Caenorhabditis elegans: one gene and its partner. The protein of the gene in region 2 purifies or fractionates together with the protein of the main gene of each other region. This does not show direct contact. Each region holds a gene or a part of one and is shown on either strand. Other genes may lie near its edges. The genes, in order: fbxb-87 and cpf-2.

Region 1 (8,647 bases), 2.4 Mb from region 2:
AAAAAAATTCCGCATTTTTTAATTTTAGAAAATTTTGATTTTATCTATTTTTAGAATCTTCGCTGCGAGACCACAATTATTCTCCAATTCCAGATTTTCAGAAATTTCCAACCTTCTCCACTGCTGCCAGAACACCTAAATCCTTTCGTTTCATCGGATTCGGCAGCACAACGTGTCCGAATATCGATCGAGCACTAGAAGTCGGAAGAGCTCTTTTTGGTGTCAAATTCTTGGGACTTGGTGTCGCTAGTGGCATAGTTTCAGCGAGAAATGATGATTTATCAGGAGGTGTTGAGGAGATAATTGTATCATCCAAAATACTATCATTTGAGTAGGCAGATGGATCATTGTACATGATAGATGAAGAATTCGAACGGTTTTCAATTTTCGAATCTGGAAATAATTTTTTTTTAATTTTTTAATTTATTTTGCTGTTGAAAATCTTTAAAAAAATCAAGAAATTTTTTCTCGATTTTCTGATTTTTTTTTAATTAAAAAAAATCGAAAAATCCCAAAATTTCAGCTCATTTCTCTATTTCTTTAATGAAATTTTTCATATATTCGATTTTCTTTAAAAATCTCTGAAAAAACGGAAATTTTTGAAATTTTAACGATCTAGAAAATATTTTTTACTGTTTCGATTCCCATATATATGGGAAATATTTGCTTCTCGATTTTAAAATTTTCTGTTTTTAAAAATTTTTTTAAAGAACCGACTCTCTGATAAATGGAATTATTTTTTCGAATTTTCGTTTAAAAAAAAAAAGAAAATTTTAAATTTCCAGCTCATTTCCGTATATTTCAATGAAATTTTTTCAAATATTCGATATTTCTCGAAAATCTCAAAAAAAGCGGAAATCTTTTCTAGAGAATCTTTTTTTAAATTAATTTAAGCAAAAAACACGTTTTTTTTATGTTCGAAAAAAACTAAAAATTATTTCCAATAATTTCCAGATTTTTTTAAATAATTTTTTTTGAATTTTTAATTTTCAAAAAAACAATTGAAAATAAATATTCACCTCGATTAGAAGTTTTCGATGGATTTTTCTCGAAAAACTTTGTCAATTTCGAAGTTTTTTGGCGATTTCTTGCCGGACTCGGCGTAGTGAATGCCAGTGTGAAATCGAGTTGCTCAGGCTTCTTTTGATGTTGCTCATTGTGCTTTTTCGATGGTTTCTGAATATTTTCAACTTCAAGACTTTCAATCGAATCCCGTTTTTTCTTGCTTCCACGTTTTGGTTCGTGTGTTGTGTGTAATCCAAATTCTCGTGATCCTTTATCAATTCGACGGGCTTTGAATAGATAATCGTCCATTCGAATTTGTTTTACGTATGGTTTCCGGGGACGGTTACGGTAGCGCTGGAAATACAGAAAATTTGGAATTTTTCAGAAACTTTTTATGAGATTTGGACCGTTTTGATAATTTGCTCTAAATATTAGAAATTTTAGCCATATTGTTTCAACAAAAAATATTAAAATTGAGCGATTTTTTAAAAAATTTTTTTTAAATAATTTTTTTACAAGTTTCAGGTTAATTTTTTTCAAATCCAATTTTATTGACGCGCAAAATTGTTTAGAACTTTGAATTTCTGCTAAAAATACGAATTTTTTGAGCTTTTATTTTCTCTGTAAATTCTGTGAGTTTTGAATTTTTGCAGAATTTGTAGCAAGAAGGTTTTTAGGAATTGGATTTTTCAAGAAAAATCGGTCTTTTTTTTGATTTTTTTTTTCAAAGAATTTGAAGCATTTTTTATAGTTTATTTTAATTTTTTTAACGTAAAGAAAAATTTTAAATCAGAAAACTTGAAAATTTGAAAAATTAAGAATTTTTTGAGTTTTTTCAACCAATTTTAAGAAAAAATGAATGAATATCAAAAGTTTGATGCAATTTTTTCCGAAAAATTTTTAAAATTCAAATTTTAATGAATTTTCAAAATCAGAGTTTAAATTTAAAGGCGCACGCATTTTGTTCAAATGGGTCTCGTCGCGATTTTTTTATAAGTCAAAACTCTAATTTTCAATGGAAAACTTTTTTTCTAGATTTTTATCTTAAATTCCGGGATTTTATAGAAAAAATCCCATTAATCACCTCGATATCATCAGGTGATAAAAAATCATCCATAATCGGCTGATGCGCCGGTTTGGAGTTGAAAATCGGGAATTTTTCTCCAATTTTCTTCTCTTTTTTCACTTTTTTCGGCGGTTTTTCCCTATCCGTTGTTGTGCTCAATTCTTGTGAAGAATGTGTTGAGGATACTATTGCCAGAATTGATTCATCATTTTCTTCATAATTTCCAAAATTTGATGTAGACGGTCCAAAAATATCGATTGATGGCTGGGGGTACTGTAGCTCGGGATCCAAAGCATTTCTGATGGCTCGGGCGATGCTGTCCGACTGAAATTTTGAGAAAATTGAAAAAAAAACCTTTTTTTTTTTCAAAAACTGCAATTTTAAGACAAAATATTCACATTTGCGCGTAAAATATGGTGTAATATTAGTGGTGTTTGCACAACTTCTAATTGCGTACTTAATACACCATATTTGACGCGCAAATTTTTGGAAAAATTGATTTATTGTTTTAGCATACTCAAAACTTCAATTTTCTAAAAGATTTTTTGAAAAAAAACGAGTTTCAGGCGAAAATTATCGCATTTTTCTGCATAAAACTCGAAAAACATTGAAATTTTCAGGTTTTCTGTATTTTCAGCAATGTTTTGATGAAATTGTTCGATTTTCAACAATATTCTGCAAAAATTGACAAAGGCAGTCATTTATATACAAAAATTTGAGCAAACTCTGCCAGTTTTTCTATGTTTTTTCCAATTTCTCAAGAATTCTCCTTGAAAAGCTGGAAAAACCTCTGAAGTTCGAGCTTTTCCGGATTTTTTCGCATAATTACCTCTCCAGTGGATCTTCGTTTCGGTGTTGGCTCAAATGGATCCACAGATTGCATAAATGAGTCAAAACTTGAATTTGCCACGTGGCTACCGTAATATCTGTCCATTTTTTGGGATTCCTGGAAGGGAAACTGATGATCTGTGCGGAAATTGTTAATAAAATAGAAATGAACTGGTAAATTGGCAACCAGAATTACAAAACGATTTAAATTTCACGATTTAAATTCAAGATTTAAGTTTATTCAATTTATTCAACAGAAAAATAAATAATAAATCATTTTAAAATAGATGTTTAACATTTAAATTAATTTTGTACAAGTTTCCTCTTGTGACCACGTAGATACTCTGCAAAAATAAACATTTTCCGCTTTAATTGAGCTGAAATTCAGGAAACATTGAAAATAAAATTCAAAAAAATGATTTCTCTCAAAACTTCTCTGGCGCCCTCTTATCTCTGCGCCGTGTCAGCGAGCGCGTTTGCAGCGGGAAATTTAAGATTAAATATATTTAAATCAAAGCTTTGATCAAAGTCGAAATGGTTTGTGGTAAATAATATATATTTATCGATTAAAATCAAGAATAAATTCTAATAAATAACTTCGGCATTTTTTTGGCTCGAGCAACGGAAACCACGCGGCAAAAAATAAGTTTAAAATTACAGTACTCATTAAAGGTGCGTACCTCTTCGCATTAAACAAAAGATTTACCGTATTTTAGCGCAAAAATACAAAGAAAAAATCAAAACTAACATTTAAAACGATGCAATTTTAAGGAGATCTCCGATACTTGAATCAATCGGCTTCCAAACAAACATCTTCAAATACTTGTTAGTTGCAAACTCATCACACACAACAATAATTGCGTAGGTACCATCGCTCCTTTGGATTCCAAATCCCTCGTTTTTCACCTCTCTGTGTGAGTCCTTCCATACATCCACAGCTGCTTCGAACTCCAGTTTTTGGTCGACGTCCAGTTTTTTGTATTTAATACCACTTAAGGCATTCTGAATAAATTCTTCCTTCTGAAAATTTTGAGGAAGACGCATATGGAATAATTCCAGCCGTTCAGTTGATCCATTGATCCAATGTTTTAGAAATATGCATAGATCTGTTAGGGGCAATGGTTCATGAATAAGTATTTGAGAAGTATTTGAAACGAGTAAGTCTTCTAGTTTAAAAGTGCTTCTTGTTTCTAAATGTTTGAAGTTGAGGCCCACAAGTGACTGGAAATCTCGAGTTTCCCAAGTAATTTGCTCTAAAGTTAGAAAATCGAATCGTCTTGCAAAATGTTTCAGTGAGCTCCTAGTCGCGAGGTGTAAAAGTTGAATATTCAAATTATTGAATTCTTCTAGATAATCGTAGTCGATATGCTTAATAAATAGCTTATGAATAGTTGCTTGATGGAATATTGTAAGAATTTGATCTATAAACTCCCGCAAACTGATTCCTGTCATTACTTTTTCACCGTGCACTCGAATCAAATTCCTTCCTTCAGATTGTGTCACAGACAATTTCAAATTGAGATCTTCCATATTATAAGTGAAGATATCAAATTGTATTGTCCCAGAAATTGTTATATAAAAATATATGAGCTTCATATTCAACGATTCAACAGCATGTTTGGCAGTTTTTGAATAAAACGATATCCTCACTCTGAAAACTTGTTTCTACTTATAAGAATATTTATGTTTCCAGTTGGGAAAAAAATGCACTCACAAATCTTGCACCTCCATAGTTTTCAGCAATAAACGTAGTGGTTTATGCGGTAATCGAAAAATTGGAAAACCTCTCATCATGGTTGTAAGAAGAATGAATAAGAAAATGAATGACTTGGTGAACCAACAGGTTATTGATTAGGAAAAAGATAATGGGTACTACATACGTTATAGATGTACACTGGTCCTGACCACTCCAACTAATACACAGGCAGGCATGGGGTCAGAGATATGAACATTAACCACATCTAAATAAAAAATTCTGGAGGTACATTTGGCAGAAGAAACTCTAACAGTCTTCCACAATTGAAAAATGTTATTTATAAAAATTATAAATATCATAACATTTGCAAAATGCAGGGCATAACCGGACAAACTCACGTGGTGTCAGGCTGTCCCATTACGGTTTGATCTACAAATTTTTGTACAGAAAACCGTAACGTCAGCGCTTCTCGTAGATCAAACCGAAATGGGACACTCTGACACCAATTGAAAACTCTGGGAAATATGATATTTTATCCTGTTAGAGCGAGAGCAACACCACTCATAATGATATTCCCAAAGTTTTAGATAATACTCAGGCAACTCAAATCTTATATGAAAATATTAAATAGCAATATTTTTGTAGTTGGGTGATATTTCAAGATAAAATCGCAATATTCCGAGACTTATTCGAAATCTTTTTAGATTGAGCAATCTTTTGAGAATATTTCGCAATATTTTGAGATCAAATTGTAATATTTTGAGACAATCGAAATCTATTCGAAATTTTTAGTAATATTATATGGACGCACTATTTCTCGTATTTACTACAAAAATATTGCTATTTAATATTTTCATATTAGATTTGAGTTGCCTGAGTATTTTATTCCATACACCTACTGTTGTAGGAGTAGAACCTGCGTTGCTCAATTTTTTTTTGAACATTTCAATTTCAAATTTTGGAAAATGATTGTCACCCACAACAGGGATGGGTGGCAATTGCAGTTCGGCAACTTGCCGGTTTGCCGAATTTGCCGGAAATTTTCAATTTCAGCAATTGTTGTACGTGTCGTTTGCCGGAAAAATCTTTTTTTTCCAAAAAAAAAAACACCCAAAAGAATCATTAAAATTTTACGATTTCACATAAAAAAATTTCAAAATCAAAATACGTGATATTCACGGACAGAAAAAAAGAGGTAAGAGATCACATAATTAGATCCTAGAGAAGATGAACGCGACACAGCCAATTTGAATACGTGCTCCGTGCTCCAGTTTCAGGATTCCACAGCGAACGAGTTCACCGGTGCTCTCTTGGCGCGAAATTTGTAGATCAGAATGTTTTTGGCATCGACATTTGATATGTGGAGGGATGATTGTTGAGGAACCTGCAAAAATTAAATTTTTTTCAATAAGTAATGGATCCTTTTTATGAAGAATATCCCAAAAATTCGTAATTTTTTAGAATTTTATCAGAAAAAAAACCTAAAAATTGTAGATTTTTTGGCATTTTTTTAAAGGAAAATTGAAAAAAAATCAAAAAAATTCGGAATTTCAGAATTTTATCAGGAAAAATAATTTAATTTGGAAAAAAAGCCTAGAAATTGTAGATATTTTTGCATTAAAACAAATAAAATCAAAAAATTCGGATTTTCAGAATTTTCTCAGAAAAAATTGATTTTAATATGCCTTAAAAACCCTAAAAATTGTAGATTTTTTTAGTATTTTTCACCAAAAAAATTGAGTTTTTGGAATTTTTCGGAAAAAAAATTAAAATTTCCACATTTTCCGCACTCCTCAATTTTTTATTATCCATTTTGTAGACGGAGTTTCCAATCCCCGCCCATTTCTTGGCATTTCCAATACCTCGAGTTCTCAATTTCTCAGCTGCCTCAAACGGTGTCAGCCGCGGTCTTCGTACCGCCCGTCCATCCACAAAAACCGCTTCAGTGCCGAGTGTCGAAATATAAAAATTATCCGAATAATAATCGCGAACAATATCACAATGATAATCTGCAAGCACCGAGCACCACGCATCGCCCGTCAATTTATCACATCGTACGTGGCAATCATGGGCGGTGCCGAGTTTTGTGACACATCTTTGAATGGCAATTGGAAGATGCACCGCCGGCAGTCGTAGATCGCCATCCTCGAGATCCAATCGTGCCAGGACCCGTTGAGTCGGTAGGAAATATCGTTGATCGTATGGGATTAGAGACGAGAGACGGGCTGCCACACATTGCTCATTGTGCTCTTTCCATTGTTCAGGCGTCCATTTGCTGAGTGCTGCGTCACGATTTCTGAAAATTCATAAATATAAATAAAAATGGCCTAGAAATCAAGGAAAAAGCTCGGCCATGGTCTAGAAATTATAAATGCTAATTTTTCACTGTTTTTCTGTTTTAAAAAATTAATTAAAGGTGCTTTCAAAGTTACTATCGTGGCCTAGAAACTGCAAAAGAAAAACTCGGCCCCTGGAATTACTGGATTACAAAGAAAAAACGTGGCCTAGAAAAACCTCAGCCACTGAAAATTTTAAAAAGGAATTTAAGGAAACTCAAAACCCCGGCCACCATTCACAAAATTCTGATCGTGGCCTAGAAAACCTTATGGAAAAATTCGGCAACTATTGAATTTTTGAAATTGGAGCAGTTTTGACAAACATGGCCTAGGACTCAAAATTAAAAAAAAAAAGTGGATTTGCTTTCTAGAAATATAACATGGGCCATCAATTTTTTTAAAACTTTTTTTGAATTAGGATGGCCTAGAAAATGAGAAAACTCGGCCATCATCAGTGTTTGCGTATTTTCAAAGCTACAGTAACCGGAATAGTGCAAAATTGAGCTAAATTCATCAATTTTTTTATTTGTCGGAAATTCTGAAAATTCGGAATTCGAACTTAAAATACACAACATTTCGAAAACTGTGGGCCGTGGCCTAGGCAATCCAGTTGAAAACATCGGCCACTGCTCAATTTGGCCAAGTTTTTGCAGCCATGGCCTAGAAAAATCTAGAACTCAGCCACTATATTAAAATTGGCCAAAATATGCTGCCATGGCCTAGAAAATGGGAAAATTCGGCCATAATCAGTTTTCGAGGCTACAGTAACCGGAATAGTGCAAAATTGAACTAAATTCATCTAGTTTTTTGCGGGAAATTCTGAAATTCCGGGATTCGAACCTAAAATACTCGTCCTTCGCCTGCTCGAAACCCCGATCCATCATCATTTTCGTGTATTTCAGTTTTATTTCTTTAATCTCATCTCTCAGCTGTTTCGTCACAGGTTGGTTCAACAATTCCGCAGATTCGTTAGCATCTGATGCTGTCGAGTGCCGTCTTGATCCTCCTCCATCATCCATTGATCCTCTGCTAGATCGACTACCACGTGGCCGTCCACCACCACGGCCACGGCCACGTCCAACCGGTTGTGGATTCCGTTTTCTCTGCTGCTTCGGAATTGTGGTGTCTCCCTCCTTCCGATTTCTTGATCCAACTGGTCGACCGCGTTTTCGAGGAGCATCCGAGAAATTGTCATAGTAGACGGCGGGAGGTGGTGGAATTGGCGGTGGAGTCTGTGGAGATGCAAATTCTGCGGAATAAAGATTTTCTTGGTATTCTTCATAGGTAATCAGTTTCTCCACCTCCACCACCGGTTGATTTTCCTCATCCGAGTCGTGAGTTTGGTAGAGAGAAGAATAATTGTGCTCCAGGTGCATTTGATGGCAATCCTCACGGCGTATGAAATTTTGAAGGGCGCTCTGGAATTTGTTTCCGTTTTTTTTTTGAATTTTTTTTTGGATTTTGCAACAAAAAAAACGGAAAAAATTATTGTTTTTTTCGGGAAAAAAGATTATATTTTTAAAAACTATATCGGTTTTTTTCTTGGGTTTTTTCACAAAAAAAAAATCGAAGAGTTCTCAATTTTTTGAAATTAAAAAAAAATGATTTTTTAAAATTACTTTTGTGTTTTTTTTTTCGATTTATCGGAAATATTTTTCTCTTTAAAATCGTTTTCTTAATACTTAAATCTAGAATTTTCCCAATTTGCAAAAAATG
Region 2 (8,647 bases):
GTTAAAGGCGCACAATCGTTTACATTTTTACAAAAATTGTCGTGTCGAGACCAATGGTGTTGCCGAAAAATTGTCGGTTTTTTTCGCAAAACATGTGTTTGAAAATTACTTAAAATTATTCAAGACTCGAATTTTTTTTCGATTTTTCGATATTTTTTCGACCCTTGGTCTCGAGAAATTTTTAAAACACACAAAATTCTGACAATGCATATTGCAGAACATATTTGACGCGCAAAATATCTCACAGCGAAAACTACAGTAATCTTTCAAATTACTACTGTAGCGCTTGTGTCGATTTACCGGCTCTATCGATAGAATGCCAAATTTAAATTTTAGAAAAAAAAAAGAGAATAATATAATCGAACCCGTAAATCGACACAAGCGCTACAGTAGTCATGTAAAGGATTACTGTAGTTTTCGCAACGAGATATTTTGCGCGTCAAATATGTTGTGGAATACGCATTCTCAGAAAAAACGCATTCTAAGAATTTTGTGTAATAGCACTCTTAAAAGTTTAGAATGGAGAGAACTCTACTCAATCTCCCGGAGCTCAGTTTGGCAAAAATTGTGGCCTATCTCGGACCAAATGCAACGTGGGTTTTAGTTTTTTTTCAGGGAAAAAAACAATTTTCTTATTTTCCAGCATCAACTTTGCGCTGTCCTCTCCAATTGTCCGAGAATTCATCAAAACTCTGAACCTCTACGTAGAGTTTTTCTCGGTGGAAATCAATAATAATCGATGCGTCATTCGTTTGAAATTTTTCTATTCGAAAAAGGAATTCGAATGGAAGTTCGTGCCACCAACATCGTGCCACCATAGGACTATAATCAGGAAATTGAATAGAAAAACTGCATTATGCCAAAATCCATTGAAAGAGATGATGAAGGCGGCTGAATGGGTGACTGAATTGATAAGATTTCCGATTTCAAATGTTCATATCTGGGGACCTGATTTCGAAGGATCTGCTGATCTTTTCGATTGGTCGGCTATACAACAATGTGAGGGCATTTCGATGAACCTAATCTCTACGATGAATGGAAATTTGGAAAACTTCAAAGATCTGGAACACCTTGAACTCAGTGGCTGTTCATGGTTCAGAGCGGAGCATTTTCGAGCATTGGAGGCAAATCGTGTTTCTCTTTATTGCTTAAACTTCACTGTTCAAGACGTGAATACTATTCTCAGAGATTGGACCCGAGGATCAAATGCGAAATTGGAAAATTTGATTGTTCATTCGAAAGAGATTGATGGAAGAGTTCCAGGGCAAATTCTGGAAGGTCTCGATGTGAAACCATGGAACCACGAACAACGGCAGAAAATTTTCCCGTAAGTTTTCAAAAGTTTCCTGAAAGTTGCAAATTAAATTCTGTTTCAGAAAAGAAGAACCATTCCAATCATTAAACTGCGAGAAAGCGATGGATTTTGAACGAGCCGATGGTCTTCTCGCTTCTGTGATCATTAACGATAACGAGGTTGAGATGGTGGTTTGGCATAAAAGATTCTCCGACCAAGAGCCGATGGAAGAAGATTGAATTTTCATTTAATTTTGTTGCAATAAACCAAATGTTGAATTTAAAAATGTGATCTTCATGAAATCGATAGTTACAAAACGGAAAAATTAGAATTAAAAGCACAAATACTCGAGAGACGAGATCCATATTTACTTGACATTTCTCTTCAACTGCTGTCTCAGCTCTATTATCTTCTCACGATCCCCAGCAGGAAGCATCTGAAGATCGTGCTCGCTGAGCTGCATGACTTGCATCAGAAGCTCCGCATTTTGCTGCTCTTCTTGATGATTTTGTTGTGGCTGCTGAACTGGAGGTCTCATCTGAACTGGTGGCTGCTGCTGTGGCGGTGGCTTGTACTGCTGTGGAGCCACTGGTTGCCCGTAATTTTGACCGTATTGAGGAGCTTGCGGATGTCCCATAGGTGGACCCATAGGTGGTCCCATCGGAGGACCCATAGATGGGCCAGGATGAGCAAATGTTGGCTTCGGTGGCATCGGCATCTGTTGTTGCTGAACCATTGGCGGTGCTCCTTGAGGTGTATTATGGAATGGTGTCAGCGTGGCGGCCTTATTACGATGAAGGAGTCCAAGTGCAGTCTGTGGATCAACGATTCGCATGACAACGGCGGCTTGGAGCACCGCGTAGGCGATTTGTGGATGCTCGACCAGGAATTTGTGTAGTTCCGATGGATTGTTCTTCAGCGATTCTTGCAGTTGCTTCATTAGTTCGAACATTTTCTCCGGAGCCAGGGAGGCGACTGTTTGGGAGATTCTCTAAAATTTGTGATTTGAGAAAGAAAATGAGCTCGATAATGCATATTTAGGCCCTATTTCGTCATTTTTGAGCATTTTCTATTCATTTTTGTGCAAATACGACTATTTTTCATCATTTTTAAGCTTAATTTGAGACAATTCATTACGAAATTCTTACAATTGAGCTCATTTTGAGACTATACGTTCAGAATGACTAAATAAGCTTAAAAATGACTAAACAAGAGCGAAGTTTGCCAAAAAATAATAAAAATGATTAAAATTTGGTCGAAGAGAACCAAAAATTGTTTTAAAAAAGTACGAAAATTACAAAAAATGACCAGTGTAGGTCATTTTGGAAATTTCTGGCGAATTTCGGTCATTTTCATTCATTTTTGGGCATTTTTGGGCATTTTCAGGCCAATTGCAGTCATTTTCGAGCCGATTTCAGTCATTGTTGAACATTTCAGGCCAATTTCGGTCAATTTTGGACATTTCAGGCCAATTCCGGTCATTTTTGGACATTTCAGGCGAATTTTGGCCATTTTTGGATATTTCAGGGAAATTTCTGTCATTTTCAGGCCAATTTCAGTCATTCCTGAACATTTCTGGCCAATTTTCGTCATTTTTAGACATTTCAGGCCAATTTCAGTCATTTTTGGACATTTCAGGCCAATTTCAGTTATTTTTTAGACATTTCAGGCCAATTTCGCTCATTTTTAGCTACCTCCGGTGCTTTTCCAGCATCACACTCTGGACCATACGGATTCTCTTCGACAGGAGCTGGAGCATTACTCGATGAGCCGAATTCTTCCATATTCATTCCACCAGCAGCACTGTCGACTCGCAAAATACGTCCACTCAGCTCGTAACTGAACATTTATTGAATAAATAATTTATTTTTCAAATATTTAATACCCATTAAGGTTTCGAATTGCAACTTCGGCGGTTTGAATGTCTGGAAATTCAATAAATCCGTATCCCTTTGGCTTTCCGGTCTCCCGATCGTGAACCATTTTGATCGACAACACATTTCCTGCCTGAAAACTTTTTTTCAGTATTTTAATTGGAAAGAATAAAATAATAATTACCTTTGAAAAAATGGAGCGAATCGTGTCTTCGGATACATCGTAGCTAATGTTTCCAACTGAAAAATGCGAAAATTACGTTTTTTTTTCGAAAATTCACAGTTTCCTACCGAAAACTGAACGTTGAGATCGATCATTGCCCACTCCGGATGATTTGTATCCCCCGGACATCATTTTTCAACCTGGAAATTGAAAATGAATAAATTAAATCGTCGATAAATCGATAAAAGCATTTAAGGAGTTGGAAACTGCACAGAGAAAAAACTATTCGAAAATAAATCGCGTGCCGCACACTTGCGAAAACTGCGCGCCCGCATTGCATATTCGTTGCCTCTAGCTCCACCCACATTTTTTGTGACGTCACAGCACAAGCAAAGTGACCCTCCGAAAATGACCGATTTCCGCGGAAAAAGACGGAAATTGACATTGATTCTTGTTTGACACACATATTGATTGACAAAGATTTCGTATTTCGTCAAAAAATGATATCTTCTGCATAATTTTTATTATTACACATTCTTAAAAATCGGGTACTACTCATTTTTCTTACGAAAAACTTTAAAATTCGAAAAAAAATGTCTTCTCATGAATAACAGCTTGTCTCTCCGACTATATTTTTCACATTTCCGCCAATATTTTCAGTTTTTTTTTTTTTTAGTTTTTCGCCGTTTGATTTATGAGCCAATTTCGCGCATTTTGATTGATGGGAACAGCGTTGACGTGGGGTGTTAGTGTTCCCGAGAGATGCAGAGTATATATTTTATTTTGTTTTATTTAGTTGAAATGACAAAATTCAAATAATTTTTTTAGTTTGAAAATATTTTTTGCCTAGTTTTTCCACTTCGAAACACCGCATAAACTAGTTATACCTGATGCCTGATGTTTGGTAGTTTTCTATTTTGGGAGTATTTGGAACTAATTGAAACGAAACATTTTCTATTTAAAAAAATTTATCAAATAATTCTTCCACATGTTTTCCAACCCTTTTTTAGACCAGCCGTTGAATTTTCAATAAATCGCTTCGAGATCTTCGATTTGACGACACACTGAAAATAGTGCTCTTTTCGAAATGGAAATTCAATAGCGCTCCACTGCCAAACTAAACTTATTGGGCGCAAAGCAGTAATTTTAAAGAAATTTCCAGCTTCGAGTTTTGGAGACCGTAACAAATCTTCCAAAAATGCAAGGAAAATTCTGAAAATGCGTATTGCGCACCATATTTGACGCGCAAAATATCTCGAAGCGAAAACTACAGTAATTTTTAAATGACTACTGTAGTCCTTGTGTCGATTTACGGAAATCACTTATTAATCGATAAAATATTAGAAGAAAACATAACAATGACAAAATATTACGAACTATCGATCGAGCCCGTAAATCGACACCAGCGCCACAGTAATCATTTAAAGAATTCGCTCACGAGATATAGTTATATTTTGCGCGTCAAATATGTTGTGCAATACGCATTCTCAGAATTTTGTGTTCCCGTAATATAGTAGTTTCACTAGAATTTGATAGGCCTTCTTAAAGGTGCACGGACTTATTCAGATGGGTCTCGGCGCGCGTAGAAAAGTTTATAGTTAAAAGTTTCTCGTTTTTTTGAATTTTTGCGGCTCCGTCCTTGTTTATTTTTCTTTTAAAAATTCTATTAAAATAGTTTTAACTCAGTTTTCAAATTAAAAAAAATACTACCATAAATTTTTGTTTGTGCTCCGAGACCCATCTAAAAAAATCCGTGCGCCTTTAAAAAGACACACGGATTTCTGGCTTTCCTCATAAATTGAAATGGAAGAGTTTGCCAAACTAGGCCATTTTGGCTCGGCCATATCTGGGGTAGATTTACGGTGCGTTGCGTGTCGCGCCGCGGCTCGGTTTTGGTTGTAAAACTAAATGTAACTGTCCGAGTTGAGTACCCAACTTTCCCACGCGTTGTCCGGCAGGCGATTGTCAATGGAGCGCGAAAAATTCAACGAGGAAGGCCGGAACCCCGTGAAGGCATGCCAAAATCTAGTGAAATTAACAAAACGGGTTTGCCGCCAATACTTAGCGAGACCCAACGTTTCGAGGCGGAGCATTTTCATTTAGCCTTGGAGCGCGATTGCACTTCAATTCGATAATTTTTTTTAAGGTCAAAGTCCAGCAGAAAGTGCTCATCCCCACAAAACTCCCATGTATCTTGTTCATGTTCTTCACGCCTTTTCGCATGCAAACTTCCGAAATTCCTAGAAGAGTTTGGCTTCTCCTTTTTCGTATTCCCCTGTGGAGAACACAAACATATCTTCTTCTTCGTGAGCATCTTCTTCTTCTTCTTTTCCTTCTCCTCAACAACTTCTTCCTTTTTTCCCGAAACTGGCTTGATTACAACCTCCTCTCCTCTCACCAATACTTTTTCTCTTTTTTTTTTTCGTCAAACTTTTTTTTTCTTTTTCTCCTTTTTCTCCCTCCATTTTTTCTTTTTTCTTTTTTTTCACGACATGAAAAAAAGGAAAAAAAAGTAGAAGACGTCCAGGAAAAGCCCTTTTTATGTGTGTGTGTGCAAGTTTTTTGCCGGGGCTCTCTGAGCTTCTCGCTCTCCCTTTTTGCCTAAATTGGCTTCTTTTTTTCTATTTTCACCCCTTGTTTATTACTCTTTTTCATGTACTTGGACCCTTGTTTCACTTTAGTTGAAATGAAACAAAAGTTGAAAGTTTCCGGTTTTTTAACTTCGTTAGGTAGCTTGGATGAAGCTATAACTTCTGAGCTTCTGCTTCAAAACTTGGAAACTGTTAGTTAGGTGGGGTTTTTTTCTGCGTTAAATCAATGGAGAGCGGCAAACGATTTTTTCCGGCAAATCGGCAGATCGGCAAATTGCCGGAATTGAAAAAAAAAATTAACTTGAAAAATTTCCGGCAAATCGGCAATCGGGCGTTTCCGACGAAAATCGGCAAACCGGCAAATTGTGGTTTTGCGCATTTCTTTCGATTTTTTCCGGAAAATTGGCATATCGGCAAATTGCCGGAATTAAAAACAAATTTATTTTTAAAAATTTCCGGCAAATTGTCGATTTGCCGAATTTGAAGGAAAAACTGCAATATCTGAAAAAAAAAAACGGGAAAAAATTTCAAAACGGTAGAGTCTTTTAAAAAAATCACTCAAAAACTTCCGGCAAATTGATATCCGGCAAACAGCAAATCGGCAAACCGGCAATTTCCAAAAATTAAACATTTCCGCCCACCCCTGCTTTAAATGAAAGAATAACCGAAAAAAATTGATTTTTTTTTTCAATTTTGCAAAAAAAAATCGCTGATCACCATGGCCGTCACGAAAAAAATTTTACCAAAACATAAAAACACTAAAAAAATTTTTTCGATATTAATTTTTAAATCATAAAAATTTAGAAAATACAAATTTCTAAATTTTTTTACACTTACATATATTTGGATATTACGACCCATTTTCTATCATTTGAAGCAAAAATCTCTGAGCTTTTAGGTAGGCACAAAAATACCTACCTGCCTGTCGTGGTGAGACCCACTACAACTGCCTTTAAGGTTCCGTTTCATTGTTCCACGACTATATAATACGACATTGTTTATCATCACACCATTCGGTCTTCCATTCCTACAGCTGCTGCTGCCATGAGTCAATTGAATTTAGATATTATTATGATTATTATTCTGTATAATATCTCTGCAGTCTCTCAGTCTCAGTCACCTGTCTTGCTGTCACTCTCACTTTATATTCCTTTCCCCTGCCGTCGTTTTTTATCCACCCCGTATACACACACTTTTTTATAAATATGTAAAGAGGGATGTAGACATATGTTTTTTTTCCGGATTATTAGTTCCACAACTCTTGTTTGTTTTTTTCTTACCCAGGAGTTTTTTTAAAAGAAACTTGGGGCACTGGGAAAAACCTATATTTTTTTGTCAATAGTGTCAAAATGGCCAAAAGTTTTTTGAAAATTTTAATAAAGTGGCAATTACTAAGTTTTTGCCATTTTTTGAGAAATCTATTGCACATGTTCAAGCATTTACAATGTTTGAATATTATTATTTGAAACATAAATTGACCATAAAATTTGGAAAAAAATTTTGATCAACGACTTCCACAAATGTGGCAAAAAATGAGATTTTTTCAATGTTCAAAAAATCATATAAAATTTAATTTCAATAAACTTTTGGATGGTAATGTTATAGAAATGTTCTGTGTATAGAGTATTTCTCTCTAACACTATTTAAGCCCCCGTGTTGCTCATTCATCTTTCTTTCCCCCCAAGAAGACGTCTATGATATCTCTACAATTCATCTTTCTTGTCTATTTTTCCTTTTTATTTTGTATCTTTTGCTACAATCAAAACATCACTTTTAAATCCAACCAGTGCGCCCACGAGAATTTTGAATTTTTGCGTCATTTTTACCTTCACTTGATTATACTTTGAATAATTAGATTCCCAAAAAAAAATTACTTTTTTTTTTTTTTAATTTTCAATCAGTTCTTAAAAACCAGCTATTCATATATTTTCTAAAGATAAGTAACTAAGTAAGTAAGTAAATAAATTATTTTAATTCAATTCAAAAATCAAGCTCGTAAATCGAAATATGCGTTACAGTAATCATTGAAGAATTACTGTAGTTTTCGCTTCGAGATATAGTTATATTTTGCGCGTCAAATAAGTTGTGCAATACGCATTCTCGGAATGTTGTGTTCACGTAATATGTTCATTCGGAATTCTGAAAGTGAGCACTTTCCTTGTCGGAATTTTTACAGTATCACCAATTTCCAATCTATTAGAACCCCTCTACAAACTTAAACGTCGTTTCCGTATTTTCCATTCCAAAAAGGGTGCCAACAACACCGGAGGCTTCCCGAAAAAAAAAGTGGTATGGCTTAGATGAACTTTCGTCTCCATGTCTTCCTTTTCTCACTTCCATTCCGACGAAGAAGACGACGAAGTAGAAGAAGAAAAAAGAAAGGAAGACGTGAAATTTCGGAAGCTTGCTCCCGTCCAGAATACGATGGAAGAAGAAGAAGGAGGAGGAGGAAGCGACGATGACAACAACCACACAAAAATATCGAATTTCGAGAAAATATTTCTGTGGGTTTTGGGGTGGGAGGTTGACGTTTAAAAAGGTTTATATAAACATTTGGACTTTGGACATTTTGAGCTTCAACTTTTAGCAGTAAGTATTTTTAAGAGGGGCACTTATGCCTGTGAAATAAGAAAACTCGGCCACCCTCATTTCATGGTGAATTTTCTCAAAAAAACGCCGCTGTAGAATCTACAGCGCCTTTTTTTCCACTTCTACGAGTTTAAAA

The links.
Region 1: the proteins of cpf-2 (region 2) and fbxb-87 fractionate together in Caenorhabditis elegans (co-fractionation; one large-scale study listed by BioGRID). This does not show direct contact.

The regions. Positions count from the first base shown.
Region 1 is NC_003281.10:10,890,735-10,899,381, reverse strand, and holds fbxb-87 (F-box domain-containing protein), read right to left. Parts: upstream 4,863-8,647; 5' UTR 4,694-4,862; coding exon 4,614-4,693; intron 4,551-4,613; coding exon 3,650-4,550; 3' UTR 3,648-3,649; intron 3,244-3,647; 3' UTR 3,126-3,243; downstream 1-3,125. Other genes in the region: com-1 (DNA endonuclease activator Ctp1 C-terminal domain-containing protein), read right to left, coding at 113-393, 1,020-1,359, 2,090-2,395, 2,901-2,954; athp-1 (PHD-type domain-containing protein), read right to left, coding at 5,807-5,979, 6,458-6,891, 7,772-8,349.
Region 2 is NC_003281.10:13,265,353-13,273,999, forward strand, and holds cpf-2 (RRM domain-containing protein), read right to left. Parts: upstream 3,532-8,647; 5' UTR 3,524-3,531; coding exon 3,460-3,523; intron 3,409-3,459; coding exon 3,353-3,408; intron 3,302-3,352; coding exon 3,180-3,301; intron 3,134-3,179; coding exon 2,989-3,133; intron 2,286-2,988; coding exon 1,662-2,285; 3' UTR 1,580-1,661; downstream 1-1,579. Other genes in the region: F56A8.5 (F-box domain-containing protein), read left to right, coding at 520-593, 644-1,327, 1,377-1,533.